2 linked regions of the Rhinolophus ferrumequinum genome follow. The protein of the gene in region 1 purifies or fractionates together with the protein of each later gene. This does not show direct contact. Links are inferred from orthologs where the notes say so. Each region holds a gene or a part of one and is shown in the gene's direction. Other genes may lie near its edges.

Region 1 (7,991 bases):
GGCCAAGGGCAGAGTACCAGAAAGAATGGAGCTATACACAGACAGAACTACGGAGCTCTGCAGAAAGAGCCTCTCAAGATTTGGGCTGAGTACTGAGCTAAAACATACACATGAGGATACTATCAAGGTTGAGGAAAGAACCATTTGAGAGGAGTAGACGGAACGATTTTCCAGTGGAGGAAAAGCCATTTTGGCGGACAGGGTAGCAGGATTCCAGATGGCCGATTTCCTTTTATTGCTGTTTGTTCTTTAGTCCCTAGCAAATTGTAGAGCCAAGTGATTACAAATGTGAGGTCATTTGTTACTTTGAACATGAGCCTCAGTTAAGAATTTTGCCCTTGTGTTGACTGCAAGAAGCAGCAGAATTTTTCTAACACCATGGTTTTCTTAGACCAATCTGTCAGGCTCAACTCTGTGTCCTCAGTTCTCAGCAACCCGTATGGCAAAGGGATTGTCTTACCAAAAGATTTTGAGGAATCCCTAAGGAATGGTTAAGTGAGCCACATATCCTCCCTGGAAATGACTATCGCTTTTGCAGGGGTCCTTGTTCCAAACCACTGCTGCTCTTGAACTTTGCCAGCTCTCCTCCAGGCTCTGCACACGGCCCCCATCCCAATGCATAAAGATCTCCTCACTTTATTCCCCAAAGCTCAGCTCAATCCAGGCTATTTAACAAGACACAGAGGCACAGACATAAAAACAAAGAGTAGTCCACTACTGTCACTAGAAGTGGCTATTCTTCAGATTCCTGATAAGGCAGAGCCAATTCAACCTGCGCCTTTCCCCCCCAACTCCCCACAGGACTCCCCAGACTGTCACATCTTGAAATCCTAATGCCAGCAATAGGCATGGGTCCAAAAGAAAGTCTTTCTTTTTCAGTTCAAGGCCTGCTTCTTTCCACTCTAGAATGTCTGACTGAACAATTGATTATCTTTTCCTTAGGAGGAAAACTCACCTCCACCTTGGCCTGGTTGATGCAATCCCAGGAGTCATTGACACTTTCCAGACTTGGGATAATTTGGCTTTACATAACACCACTTGTGAGATACCAGTGGTTCAGGCCAGTTCTCTTATGCGAGGTATGAAGGAAGCATTGGCACCCTCTTCAGGATGGCTCCAGTTTTGTGATCACCTGTAAGCAAACAGATAAAAACATACATAAGTTTCCTGAAAACAAATAAGGATTTTAGGAGACATTCCAGTTCATATTCTTATTTAGGGGAAAGAAGTGATCTCTCTCTCCCTGGAAGGGCACTGTCTTGCGAACGACGCAATTTATATTAATAATAAATAAACTAACCCCAGGATCTCAGTCTGAAACATCTGAATTTTGGTTAATGGTCATTCCACAATTATCTTTATGTATGTATAGAGGACCCATGCTAATGATGAAAGGCAGATTGCTTCCAAATGTCTCTGAGAAAAGGCAGATTGCTTCCAAATGAATTTATGTCTTGCCTTCTAGAAATACAAAACTGCAATATAAAAGTTTCATTTATTGGGCACCCTTTAAAATTTATGACTACAAAGAGGAGTCTGGCCTAGGCTCAGAAATAGACTCTTTCCCCTCTCTTTACTAGTAACTTAAAATATCTGTATTTTTTCTTTCTTAAGCCCTAAATCTTACCCCCATACTTTTTTTCCTTCCTTGAACCAATCTTTCACATTTAATCACACACAGGAAAGAATATAGTATCAAAACTACTGAGCTTCCAAAGGTAATATTTTATAACTAATATAATGTCATCAGAAACAGGATGTGAAAGAAGTTTATATGAAGGGTCAAAATCAGATTTAGGAACCTCAAGAAAAGCCTGGGGTAGGGGGGAGTCTAGAAAACCTACTTCCCAACTTCTCTTTTCTCATTCTCTCCTCACTTAACATCCTCCATATGCAAGTCGGGTTTTTCAATCTGTGGTCTGTTACCCTCTGGGAGTCTTGTATTTCCAAGGCACTATGAGTCTTCCATGAGAATTTTTAAACTTTGTGCTTTAAGTTTTATAATATAAGCATATTAGCATATTTTGGATCATCTGAATGAACACTTTTATTTTTGAATGATCTTGTGTTTAAGTTTACAGTTGAATTGGTGTCACATTATACTCTGAAGTTAGCATTTAACTTTTAAGGCAGTGTTGCCTGGCCTGGGATCCCTTGAATTCCTTGAATCTACAGAAATATGTCTTAGTGGTTCACAATTTCTCATATTTGAAAAACACAGGCTTAAATCACCTTCTCCTCTTTTCTCCTTTCTGTTTTGGGAGGTAATTGGAAAGAGGCTCATGAGAAGCTAATAGAAACGGACAAAAGAGGTTTTAAAAATGCCTCATATTTTCAATTTATCTTTGATGTTTGACCAATTTGGGAGACAAAATATAATCAATCTAGTGATTTCTTTAAAAAATAAAGCAAAGGTGATACTGGGATACATAATTGTGAATATGTGTAAGAATTACCAAATGCTTAGAATTTGTTATTTTCTATCCACAACAAACCAATCCCATAGCTTTATCCCTTGTTGTAGAATGAACTTGGTATATATTTTAGAGACCCCTTTTTTTTTTTTAATTCAGTCCAGCCCCTAAAATAGATGTTCAGGAGCTGCTTTTGTTACATGTGTTTGATTAGGCAGATTTTTGAAATGCATAGTTTAAAGACAGGCTCAAGATGGAATACCAATCTGAATACCAATACTCATTCTCAGATGGAATACCAATCTGAGAATATAATGTTTTGGGTTTTTATTTCATTAAAAACATTTTTTTTTCCTATCAAAGCATGAAAACTTTGTTTGTGTTCTTGGAAGTATACTGTAGTGGTTTCGGGGGAAATGGAGATGGAGTGGAGAGAGGATAATCTTCATATTCTTTGTCTCTTTTCCCACCTGTTTGCATGAGCCCCCTTAGTATCTCCATTTCCCCTCTCCGACACACCATTGCTCTCCCAATGCCTCACTCTTTCCTTGAGTCATATTTTCTTTTCCACTTTTTTCCTTGTCTATTTGTCTTCCATTTTGTTTCAGGCAATCTATTTTTTGTGAACATCATTTAATAATTTAATGTTATTTCCATCCCTTATTTAGCATGTGTTTGTGGATACTTAATCAATGGTAGTCTTTTGGTTGACTAACAATATAACATTTATGCAAACTTGGCAATTTATATTCAGCTCCTCTTATCCCTAAAGCAATTTGGAAAAGTATGTATTGTATATCTGTTTTATAGATGAGGAACTGAGCCTGAGAGAGAATATGTTACTTGTGAAAGACCACGTAGCTAATATTATGTCAAAACTCATGCTTTTTTCATTCTTAAAAAAATTAAAAAAGAGAAGAGGCTTATGTTCTTTTAACACTGCCTTTGTCAGAAATCTCATCCAGGATCATGATGACCTACAGTCCTAATTAACATCTTCTTCTACCCATATAGTCTAACTTCAACCCAGTATTTTCAATATTTGTGTATGTAGTTGTCACCTTAAAATGAACCAACCATTTCCCCCTCCCCCGCTCCCCAACTAGTACCCTCTCACCACCACACCATTTTGTTAATGGCTCCACCAGTTTTTGTCATTCAAGGTCAAAATCTTGGTGTTCATTCATTCATTCAACAAATATTTAAATACTGTTGAGCACATACAAGAATTGTGCTAGGGATGCTGGCGCGGTTTACAACAGTAAGTTTGATGCAGTTTTTGCCTTCATAAAGATTTATAGTCTATCAGGAAAAAAACAAGTGGGGACCCAAACTAATGTAGACTTCCTGAAGGAAGTGATGATAAAAGGGTGGGGGTGGGGTGGGAAGGTTTATTCCATGGGTGACAGCCTGAGAAGAGCAAACGCAGCTTTAGAGGAACCCAAAGACATATTGCTGAAGCACTGAGTGGTAGTGGAAATGGAAAGCAGGAGAGACATGCTAGAATCGGTTCAAGCATGAAGGGTCTGGTAAACTATGTTAAGGAATTTGGAGTAGGTCTCTTGAAGAGCAGGAGGAAGCCATTAGTTTTGTATTTTAAAAATCAATCTGCTTATAGTTTGGAGAATTTTTCCTTTTCATCCCATCCCCTGAATCCAATCTATTGCTAGGAGTTCTTACTGTCTAATTTGTTCCTTCATCTCTATTCCCACTGCCACCACCCTAGTCTCAGCCCTCCCACCTCATGCTTGGATTAAGAGCCCTTTAACCAATTATTCTCCAGAGCCTGCCCCCCCCCCCATCTATACTGCACACAAAGACTAGCCTAACAGCCCTAAAATGCTATACCAGGATAACAGTTAAGTCCAAATCACCCATCTTGCTTGCCACTTACTACCATCTCTATCCTTATTTAATACTAATACTTAAAATCACTTTCGAACGAGGCCAATCACTTTCCTCAAAAATCCTCCCCAATGCATTTTAGTCTTTCCTCACCCCTGCAACCTCCTAACGTTATTCCCTTCTCCCCCAGCATAACGCGCTCCTGAGGATTCAAGCAACAGTGCGTCCTCCTCGCCTTTGATTTCTTCCCATCTAGCATAAAATGTGCCAAACATTTCTGCACTGCATTAACTCGACTGATGTCATAGAGGTCGTTTTCTCTTTTGTCATAAAAGACTCTTCCACATTCTACTCGAACAGGCCTCATAAGGCCTGGCCAGGTACTTCGTGCGCTCGGAAAAGCTAGTCAACTTGAACTGAACTGAATCGGCCGGGGTTTGCGGAGTCTGAGTGTGCGGTGGAAGCCGAGGGTGGGGGGGAGGCCTGACACACTAGAAGATGGACCGGAAGCGCCGGGTCCCAAACAAAAGAGTTTCACACAAACATGCGAGAGACCAGGGTAGGGGAGCAAACACGGGGGACAGCAGGAGACCGCTACGCAAGACCAGCCGCCTTGGGGACCGAGGGAGTCAGGCTGCGGCCGTTGGTGGGCGTGGCCGCGCCAGTCTCGCGGCAGCGACGGTTGGGCGGGCCGTTGTCCCCGCGGGCGGGGCGAGTTGCTAAGGAAATGACTGTCTGCAGCGCCGTGCCGCGCCGCCCCGCGCCGGCCGGGCGGGGTCTGGAGCGGCGCCGTTTCCGCTTCCGCCCCGTCTCCGTTTCTAGTCCCGTTACCGCCTCCTGGCCGGCCTCGCGCCTTTTACCGGCACCTTGCGTCGCCGCGCCGCTGAAGCCGCTCCTGCCATACGCGACCGCAGCGCTCCCGGCTCCGGCACGGGTCGCGGCCCGCTCACCTGCCCCTGAGGCCGCCGGCCAGCCGCCGCCATGGGTGCCTACCTTTCCCAGCCCAACACGGTGAAGTGCTCCGGGGACGGGATTGGCGCACCGCGCCTGCCGCTACCCTACGGCTTCTCCGCCATGCAAGGCTGGCGTGTCTCCATGGAGGTGAGGCGGGAGGGGCCCATAGGCTGGCCGCTGCAGGGCGGGAACCCGTTGGAAAAAGGGAGCGGGGGGGATGGGGTCATTCCTGGGGAAGGGTCCAAATCGAGACTGCGGCCTCAGCCGCAGTTTGGGGGGGCGGTACCAAGAGCGGGCCTGGTGCCGAGAGGGAGCTGCCGGTGCTTGGGGACCGTATGTCTGTGGCCAGCTTGGCGGCGAGGTTTTGGCCATGTGGGGAGAGGCACCTTCCGCCCACTGACTGCCCTCTCCCCGTGCCTTCGCGCCATCGCTCTCGTGCCAACCCAGCCCTCTAGGCTCATAAACGGTGTGACGTTTTGTGTGGGAGTAAAGATGAAAAGAGGGACTGTTTATTCATTTACTTTTGCGAGGGATTAGGCGAATAGATGTGAATGACGGTACTTGAAATTAAAAAAAAAATTTAAATACGTGAGAGGCTTCGTTGGGCTAGGAGTTTGACAGTGACAGAAAGCCGGGGCACATAGCCTGTTTCAACTCAAGTTCTTAACGCCTAGTTGCCTGGCCCTGGGCACCGCATGTTAGTTTCAGAAGGTTCCACCTGACCTCCAAGAATTGTCACTCGTTTGTATTCTCATCAGGGCCTTTTACGGCCTTTGGAAAACTTGAAACGAGTCAGTAGTACTCCTTTTTTAACAAAAAATATGCTTGATATTTTCTCGGGATTTTTCGAAAACTTACTCAGTAATTTGCCATTTGCCTGTTCTTGTTGTTAATAGTTTCCATGATTTTTCAATCATTTCATCAATATATTTTTGTCTTAACCTGCAGAGAACTGATTTTTTTCTAGAAAACTTCACTGGTTAAAAGGAAAAAGTCTGGATAAAAAGGAGTACTATAGGCAAAATGGATGTGAAACTACAAAGGAGAACAGGGCAAACTATGGTAGGAAGGAAAGGAAGAAAGAGGTGTAAGATGTGTTTTTGTAAAGAGGATTGTTTGATCTAGGCAGAGGGGCCAGGGAAATGCTCTAATTATGTCTGGGATTGAGGGTTTATCCACTTACTAGGTGGGCTTCAGGTAACAGCCAAATACGGTCTCCCTTGGGAATTTCTTTAAATCCCTCGCTCCTCCCTGTGGTTAGCTCTGGAATGACAGTATGTAAACTTAAAGGTTTGTTTCATACTCAAATTTTATACCCACAGCAGAGTTTAAAAACAGTTTTATCATTAGGTATAAATTTCAAGATAGGAGGGGATCCTATAGTTCATCTCGTTTTGGCTCCTACATTTTACAACTCAGAAGTTGAGGCAAAGAAAGGTTAGGACACTTGTGCTTTGGTGGAAAGAATTTCTAGGATGAAATTGTTCCAAGACACTAAACATTTATAATCTGTGTTAACCTGAAGTATAACGTTCAGATTTCACTGGTGCACAGTATCAAGCTTACTTGGTACTTGGTAAATGTAATTGACTGTTAGAAATATGCGAATATAGTTTGAAAAGGAAAACATTTATGCAAGGCTGGGGTTTGGGTTAGTTGATAGTTTGGAGGTTCTATTTCTATGGCATTTTCTGTTAATGTAAGATTTGAAGTGACTTTCATCTCAGTAAGGCTTTTCCTTCAGGTTCCTCATTCTGTATTTTCCATTTTCCTCTTTGCTGTGGTTTTTCCATTTCTTTAGTACTCTTCTCTGGTTTTCTTTATGAATTGAGTTGCTTGGATATTCAGTTTTCCAAGTTATTTGCCTAGTGATTCTGTGCCCTTTGCTGCTTCTCTGCAGGGCATTTCCCTTTATTTCTCCTCTGGTAATTAGAAAATGACTTTTTCATCAGGGGCTGTTTGATTTTTAGAGATCTTGTTAGACTAGTCCTTAGATCCTAATGTTCCTCCTGAGAGGTAACCACTCAGGGTTTTAAAATCTTCCTTTTACATTGTTTCTGAATTTACCTTTGAGTTGTTAAAAATACCTAATCAAATCATCTTGAAGCCCTGTTTGAGATGCTTTTCTGCTTCCTCAATACTTTTCCTTCTGGCTTTGTTTCCTTTCTCCCCAATGTATATGATAGTTTCTTTGGAATGACAAGAAAATAACTATGACTTCTAGACTCGTATCTGTGAATCTTAACTTTTCACAAAGTGTACTTCTGTTCCTCTTAACCTTTAGGGTGTAATTCCACCAATTAAGCCTGTTTGCTTGATCCTAAAGATTCAGTTGAGGTAAGTTTATTACATTAATACACATTACAAAGGTTGCTAAAATCCTGACACACAAATTCAGCTTTAGAGAGTATTATTTTATCCCTTCTCTTGAGGCAAGGATGGCAACTATCAACAGCTGGCATTTTATACTTTCTGCCTCTCTCCAGCCCCTGTTGCTGTGGAACCAGGGTGTTTTGAGGAGGGGTAATCAAAATACCACAGTTGATGTTCCCTTCCCTTCCTCCTTCTCCATGGTTTGGAGGGACCCTCAAGCTGGTTGAGGTATGTATTTTGGGGGCTATGAGGTAGGTTGTGGAAGGGTGCCTGAGAAATACATATGGAAAGGCTGTGTTTTTGGTGGCTATTAAGTCCAATCTGAAAACAGTTTTAGTTGATGCAGTCTTAAAGGGACAAAGGTACTTGTAGTTTTTGGTTGTGAGGTTCTCTGGAGTGACAAAA
Region 2 (7,610 bases), on another chromosome or scaffold:
CTGCTTTAGGATCAAGTGAGATGGTTGGCTTGATGGGAACCAAGGTCCATGTGGGGCAAGTACGGATAACTCTGGAAAAGAAGTGCCTTTCACAAAGTCACTTTTCATGGGCCATAAGGGATCGTTGCATGTTTAGTTACACACGCTTCATTCAGTTAACAAATATGTGAGCACCTGATATGTGAGGCACAATTTTAGCAACCAACGAGACAGACAAGATCCCTGCTCTCATGGAACTTGCATTCTAGTGGGGGTGGGGACTGACAGCAGAGAAAAGATAATTTCAGGTTTTGAGACATGTTCTGCAGACAATCAAATAGGGTCCTGTCCTAAGGAGTATCCACGGAACGCCCTTAGAGTAGCCAGGGAAGGCCTGAAGAAGTGACACCTGATATGCGACAGGAATAATGGGCTAGAACAGCAAATCACAAAATCAGGAGACTCACAGATCATGGTGTGTTAAAGGAAAAGAAGGCTAGAGCCTAGTGAGCACAGGCAAGGCCAGGGGAGACGAGAATTCTTTTATGATAATATTCTGCTTATGGGTATTGAAGATAATAGCAACGTCTTCTTGGCTCCTTTCTCTCCCTTGTCTGTTATTTAGAAGTGTGTGAAAAGTCAGGAAAATGGCTATGATGTTTGCCCCATCGTCACTAAGCAGAGGGACACTCAGCCTTGCGGATGTCATAGTCACCTCCATTCTTCCTCAGCGCTAATGAGGCCAAGGTTTAACCCCTCTCCAGGTCAGTCAGCTTTACGCAGGAGGAGAGAGCACCAGGTCTCAGCCTGACTGCTTCTCCTCTGGCAGTCTTCTCATATACGAGCTGTGGGTTGGGAGGCGGGGTGTGTGTGTGTGTGTGTGGGAGACCTGGGTGGGGAAACTGCAGCTGAGCTCGACCATTCACCAATTCACTTGCTTACCAGGTACTGGTGAGTACCTCCTGGCACAAGCACCTCACAGAGAGGCTCCTGGTTTTGTTTAGACCACCCAACAGTGCGGTGACATTCTCCCATTTCACAGATCCAAAATGTTAAGTAAATTATTCAGGATCTTACAGCAGGAAGTGACAGAGTAAAACGGAAACGAGTTATTCTCTTTAATTTCAGAATTTGTTTATTAGACATGAATATTCCTGACATTCAAAAGTTATAGAGTAACAACAAAACCCATTACTTCATAAATAGCTCAAGAAATACAACTCAAAGCCTCCTTTGTACTTCTCATTCTTAAACGATGTGGACTCCAATTCTTCCCACTTGAGAAACACTAAATGGCATCACCATCCATTTCATAATACAAACCAGAAATCCAAATAGGTACCAGTGACATTGACACTTCTTTCGATCAGTCACCAAGTTCAATTAACTTTGATATCTATCTCTGTTTCCACTATTCTTTCTACCCTTCTCCTTTCTACAAGTATGATCCCTTATTTGGTTACAATGGCCTCCTAACTGGTCTCCCTGCATCCCTGCATCTACAGGCATCCTTCTTAAAACCTTTCAATGGCTGCTCTTTGCTCTTAAGATATAGACAAAATAGGATACAAGGTCTCATATGGGCTTTCCCCTACTCAATAATCTGGCTTTATCTCAATCTCTTGTTCTGTATTTTGGAGGCCCTGGCCTTCTTCCAGTTCGTCCTTAGAATCCCCAAGCTCCCTTTTACCACAGGGCCTTTGCATATGCTGTTCCTCCCTTCTCTACCTGAATAACACTCTTCTATTTCTCAGCTAAGTTTTCCCTGAGCCCCCTAACTAGGTCAGTCCTTAGCATCTGTCACTTTTACAACTTAACATTTGTTTGTGAGATTAACTGATTAGACGATCTTCCTTAATGGGCCAAGGACCACGAACTACTTGCTTGGTGCAACATACATGCTAAATAGCCAATTTATATATAACATATAACACACCAGGCAGTGTTCCTAGCACTGAACATGTATTAACTCAGGACCTCCCAAAAACCCTGTATGAGGAAGGTATAATTAGCCCCATTTTACGTAGTAAGCAATTTAAGTCACATAAGCTAAGAAGTGGCAGAGCTGGAATATGAACTCAGGAAGTCAGTTTCTGGAGTCTGTGTGCTACATTCACACTTCGGTGACTCACTAGCATCTGCTGAAATGAAGAGTGTTGAGTGATTTGATAGAGACTAGACAGCACCATCAGTAACCTTAGTTGAACTAAAAAATCATTTCACTTGGGTTTTGGTAAGGATCTTATATTTGACTGGAACTTTGCTGCAAAGCATTTATCTTCCCAGCATTTTAGTCCAGCTGCTTTAAAAATCCACTTGCGGGCCAGCCCGGTGGCTCAGGTGGTTGGAGCGCTGTGCTCCTAACACCCAGGCAGAGGTCGCCAGTTCGATTCCCACAAGGGCCAGTGAGCTGCACCCTCTACAGCTAAGATTGTGACCAGCAGCTCGCCCTGGAACTAGGCTGCCGTGAGCAGCCGGAGCGTGGCATAAGCTGCCAAGTGGCCAGCAGCCATCGTGTGCAGCCATGAGCAGCTGGTGGCCTGCGTGAGTGGCCGGCAGCCAGCGTGAGTGGCCAGCAGACAGCTTGGGCTGCTGTGTGCTGCCATGAGCGGCTGGTGGCCAGCATGAGTGGCCGGCAGCCATCATGAGCGGCCGGCAGCCGGCGAGAGCTGCCATGAGCTGCTGTGAGCGGCCGGCCGACCAACGACTGGCAATCGACTGCCTCAGTGGGGGGGGGGGGGGGGGAGCGCAAGACTCATAATACCAGCATGGGCCAGGGACTGTGTCCTACACAACTAGACTGAGAAACAACGGCTTGAACCAGAGCGGGGGGGGGGGGGGGGGGGGGGGGGGAAGCGGAAGAAGGGTAAAAAAAACAATCCACTTGCCTTTACTGGTATTATGACTGATGTTGCGCAGAGGAGAAGGCTCAGCAAACTGCTAGAGGGCAGAAGGCTCGGAGTAAGACAAAATTGTGGATCATTTGGAGTATGGGTAATCCACATAAGGACAATTCAAAGATTTTCATGGATGTCATCTCACTTAACCTTCATTGATTCCTAATGAAGTTACACACACAGGGCAGTTCTTCCTCAGTTACTAGATGAAGCAAAGCCTGAGGTTAGGACTGCTAAGCCATAGGAAATCAACTAGTCACAGGATGGTGAGCCTCGCGTTCCCACACGTCAGCTTCAGAATTTCAAAGGTATCTCTAGCAGAGAAATAGCTTTTCCTCTTTTAAGGATTAAAGATAAATGGCCAAACTTGCCTAATTCTTGGGTGGAACCTCTCAGTAAGAACAGTTCCTCCTAGGTTTTCCCAGAATGGCTAGAGTAGGGCAATTACTCCACAAGCTCAAGCTGCATGATGAAGAGGTCTATAAGCTAGTATCTACATCCAATTAACCATGTATCATATGTAACAATTCAGGAAATTCTTCACGTGGAGTCCATGTACCAATGTCAGGGGAAGTCAAGAACTGTACTGTATGCACATTTTCTTTATGAGCATTTTGCTAAGGAAAGGCTTTCATTAGTTTCTTCCAGGGCTTAGAACTTAAAAAGGCTAAGAACCACGATCCTTTAAGCCTGTACAAGCATTCTTTCTGGTTCACGGTTGTGCCTTTAAAGGCACCTTTGCAGAATGAGACATTTTCATTCCTTCAAGTACCTGGTAGCTACAATGGGGGTCTATGAGGAAATCAAATGCCCACGCCACGTGAATTAGACCTTACAGCAGCACAGACCTCAAACCCCATAAATAGATCTGAGGGAAGTGATTAGCATTCACCTCCTTGGAGGGGGAAGCTGGGTGTAAAGCCAAGGGCACTCAGTGCGCTTGAGTCCAGTCCCCAGCAGGCCACTAACCAGCTGTGCAACCGTGCGCAAGTCGCGTACCCTCTCTGGGCTTCAGTTTCCACATCTGCAAATTGGAAATTAAACCGCATGGTCTTCAAGGTCCTAACCAGCCACAAGCCTGGTACCAATGAGGCTTAGCCATTAAAGCAGTTTCCTGTGGGAGCGGTGCAGGGCTTTAACGGTCTCCCCTCCCCCGCTCAAGCCCGCGAAACTGTTCAACACGCCCCTCCGAGTGACTGCGCTTTCCCAACCGCAGCCCGAACACAGCTCCGCCCCCTCCCGGGGGCGTCCCATCGTGCCCCGCGCTGGGCTCCTACAGCGGCGGGGCGCCTGCCGCCTTTCCGCGGCCCCGACCCCGAACTACTCTCCCCAATTCTCCCCGGTGCCCTATCCTATCAACGCCTAGTATCCCAACCAATCACGCAAGCCCGGAGTCTCGCCTTCGGTCCACTCTCCTCCCAACGTTCAGCCGGTCTGAGCGCAAGGACCTTACCAGGCCAATCCAATCAGCAGCCGGCTCTGGCCTGCCCCACCCCGATTTCACTCCCCTCGGCCAATCCATGTGCCCCATTCCGGAGCCCGCCCAGCCAACCCGGGCCTTGAAACCAGCGGGCGAATGGGTGCAGGGCAGCCCTGCAGCGCTGACCGCCTGGCCAATGGGAGATACCGCGTGGCCACGGCGGCAGCCAATCGATGTGGAGCGCGGTGCCGCCGCGGAGAGGTCCGGCCCGAATATCCCTCCGCCTTCCTCCCTCCCTCTCTCTCCCTCCCTGCGAGCCGCCGTTCACTTACCGCCTCCCTTCCTTCTTTCTCCCTCCGCCACCAGAGCACCAGCCGCGCTCTGAGCTGCCCCCGGGGTCCCTCCCCCGCCGCCAGAGGAGCAGCTGCCGCCGCCGCCAGCAGAAAATTGGGAGGGAGGAAGGAAGGAAAGGAGGAAGGAAGGGAAGCCGGAGCGACTACCAAGAGGGAGCCGGTGAATGGGCTGGTGGTGACCCCCGCCCCCCACCCCACCCTCCCTTCCCACCCGACCCCCAACCCCCATCCCCAGTTAGAGCCGCCGCCCGAGAGGCCGGGCCGACGTCTTAGGAGGAGTCGCCGCCGCCACCTCCGCCATGGAGCTGATCACCATCCTCGAGAAGACCGTGTCTCCCGGTAGGACGCGGGGGCCGGGGGTCGGGCTGAGGTGATTGGGTGGGGGGGAAGGGAAGCCCTGGTTCCTCTGACCCTGTCCCCTTTCCCACTTCTCCCCAGATCGGCTGGAACTGGAAGCGGCGCAGAAGTTCCTGGAACGTGCGGCCGTGGAGAACCTGGTGCGTGCCATCCCGCCGTCCCCCATCCCGCGGTCTCCCCATCCCCTGCGTGCGGGCCTTCCCGCCCTCCCGGAGGCCCAGGCCTCGGGAACCCACCCCGCCCCATCCCGTCCCCCTCCCCCCCACCCGGTCCAACCTAACCCCGCCATCGGGAAGCCGGTGGGTGTGTCCCGCCCCGAGCCCCTGCAGCTGGCCAATGGCGCGGCGCGCCGGGGTGACTGCTGTCCAATCGCCGCGCGGCCTGTGGGCGGCGGTGCAGCGGGAGGGAGAAAAAGGGAGGGAAGGGAAGTTAGGTTGCGCCGCGCTGCGTGTTCAGCAAGGGTGGGGGTGGGGGAGCCGGGCCTAGGGGCCATGTGGAAGCTCCGAGCCCAGCTGCCCTCCCTGTTCTGACTGGGGCCAGCTTCTCCTTCCTGTCCCGTGGCCCCTGTGATTTTTCTCCACCTACTTCTCAGAGTTCTACCCTTTCCTATCTCCCTTGGTCTCTGCTCATCGCCAGGCCTGGCACCCGAATGCCTCTTGACCCATTCCGACAATATTTCTCCTTTTCCTTCTTTTCCCGGGGTATTTTTTTTCTTTCTTTTACTTGGATGAGTAAAGACTTAATCTGTACCCACACAACACGCTGAGCTCATCCTTGAGATCGGAACTGTTTCCAGATGAAATCACAGAGAAAAGTTCCTCGTTTTAAATATTTTCAATTTAAGGGGTACAGAAAAAATGAAGCTAAGTCCACTAGAGACCGGACTTCTGCATAAAAATGTGGGATGGATTGGTTGAAATAACCTGTGTGCCAACAGTTTCTCTTTGGTGTTCCTCTCCTGTTGGGAGGATGGGGAGCAGAGGGAAGGGTGGATGTTTCTTGACATCTTTAAAGCTAATAGGTAGTAAGTCTAAATAACACTGTAACCAGATGTGTTCTTTTGTGTTACCTAGGCAAATAAGCAAAAAAAAAAAGGGACAGCATATTTTATACAAACTGTCTTTGATTTTTTCCCCCCTTTATGTGCTAGGTTTTACTAACCTTTTTTTCTTTAACTTTCCATAGAAAGGATTTTTTCGACTGAAAACATTTCCATTTAGGGTATATTCCTGTTTCTGCTTTTGCTAACTTGCAAGAAGCCTTTTACCTTATTCCTAACATTACTTAGTGGTACATAATTAATAAAACTTTTAAGATTTACCTTCTGTGATTGCAGAACTTGTTAATGGTAAGGAACTATCTGCTTTTGGTTTTCCTGATAACTTCAGGCAAAGCTTTTAGACAGCTTTTTGCAAGGTAGAGGAGTGTGTTACATTTTTTAATAATGGGAGTAGTTTTGGGGATCTGCATTACAAAAGATTATGCTGTTTAGAAATCCACTATTTTTAGTGGACAACTCAAGTAGAAAATGTATAGGAGACTTGAGTGTTAACTGGTGGCTCTTAAATATAAAACCATTTTCCTTGACATTTTTATCTTTTCAGTTTTCCCGTTTCTAAATGTTTGCCAGTTTTTTTCTTATGAATCTGCTTTATTCATTGTTCGCCTCTTGCTGAACACTCAACTGAAATACAGAGGACTGGCCTCCTAAGTCTATATTTTAGATTTATAAGTATTTCCCTCTCATACAAGAGTACCTGCTTTCATGAGATCAAAAGCCACCCTGAGTATCATTCCATTCGGACTTAAGTTTTTTTAATTTAGAAAAATTTTTCTACCCAATGGTAACGTAATTCATTCAACAAATATTTGTCGAGTACTGTTCTAGGGACATAGAAAAACCCTCTGACTACCAGATTGTCAAACTTGCTTTATTTCTAGGGGTGTTAATGTGAAGAATAGGGCACTAAGAATGATGATGGTAGGAAAATCTGTAATTACTTGTTAAATGCTGAGGCTCCTTGAGTAGATGGATGACTTCTTCAATGTATTAAGTAACATTTTTATAGGAGTCGTAAAGTTATTTTTGAGTTTTCTGAGTCGTTATGATACATTCTAAAAAATTTAGGTTTTCTCAGTGTTTTTGGTGTTCCATAAGCTATTCTCAGTTGGTGAAATTCTCAAGAGATATTTCCATTCATGGATGCTGCTTCTTTTAACAGCCCACTTTCCTTGTGGAACTGTCCAGAGTGCTAGCAAATCCAGGAAACAGTCAGGTTGCCAGAGTTGCAGCTGGTCTACAAATCAAGAACTCTTTGACATCTAAAGATCCAGATATCAAGGCACAATATCAGCAGAGATGGCTTGCTATTGATGCTAACGCTCGACGGGAAGTCAAGAATTACGTAAGTAACTTTGCTCTCTTTGGTCATATAGCCTAAGGAACAAGAAAAATCTTTTGTCAGCTTTTTTGTCGTTTGCACGGCATAGAGTTATAATACAGATTGCTGGGCTCAAACCTTCACTTGATAAAAATTGTATTTGATTTAAATCTTTCTCAGTTCAGCTTGTCTGTTCCCATTAATGGATCAGAATTGTTTTCAG

Evidence for each region. Proteins that work in one complex are often made in the same cells at the same time.
Region 2: the proteins of PPM1G (region 1) and KPNB1 purify together in Homo sapiens (affinity purification with mass spectrometry; 3 studies listed by BioGRID and IntAct, with this or other methods). This does not show direct contact. The link is inferred for Rhinolophus ferrumequinum from reciprocal best matches to the Homo sapiens genes PPM1G and KPNB1.

What each region holds. Positions count from the first base shown.
Region 1 is NC_046296.1:53,289,358-53,297,348, forward strand, and holds the start of PPM1G (protein phosphatase 1G), read left to right. Parts: upstream 1-4,984; 5' UTR 4,985-5,240; coding exon 5,241-5,360; intron 5,361-7,991.
Region 2 is NC_046304.1:35,252,899-35,260,508, reverse strand, and holds the start of KPNB1 (importin subunit beta-1), read left to right. Parts: upstream 1-4,606; 5' UTR 4,607-4,948; coding exon 4,949-4,988; intron 4,989-5,087; coding exon 5,088-5,146; intron 5,147-7,228; coding exon 7,229-7,411; intron 7,412-7,610.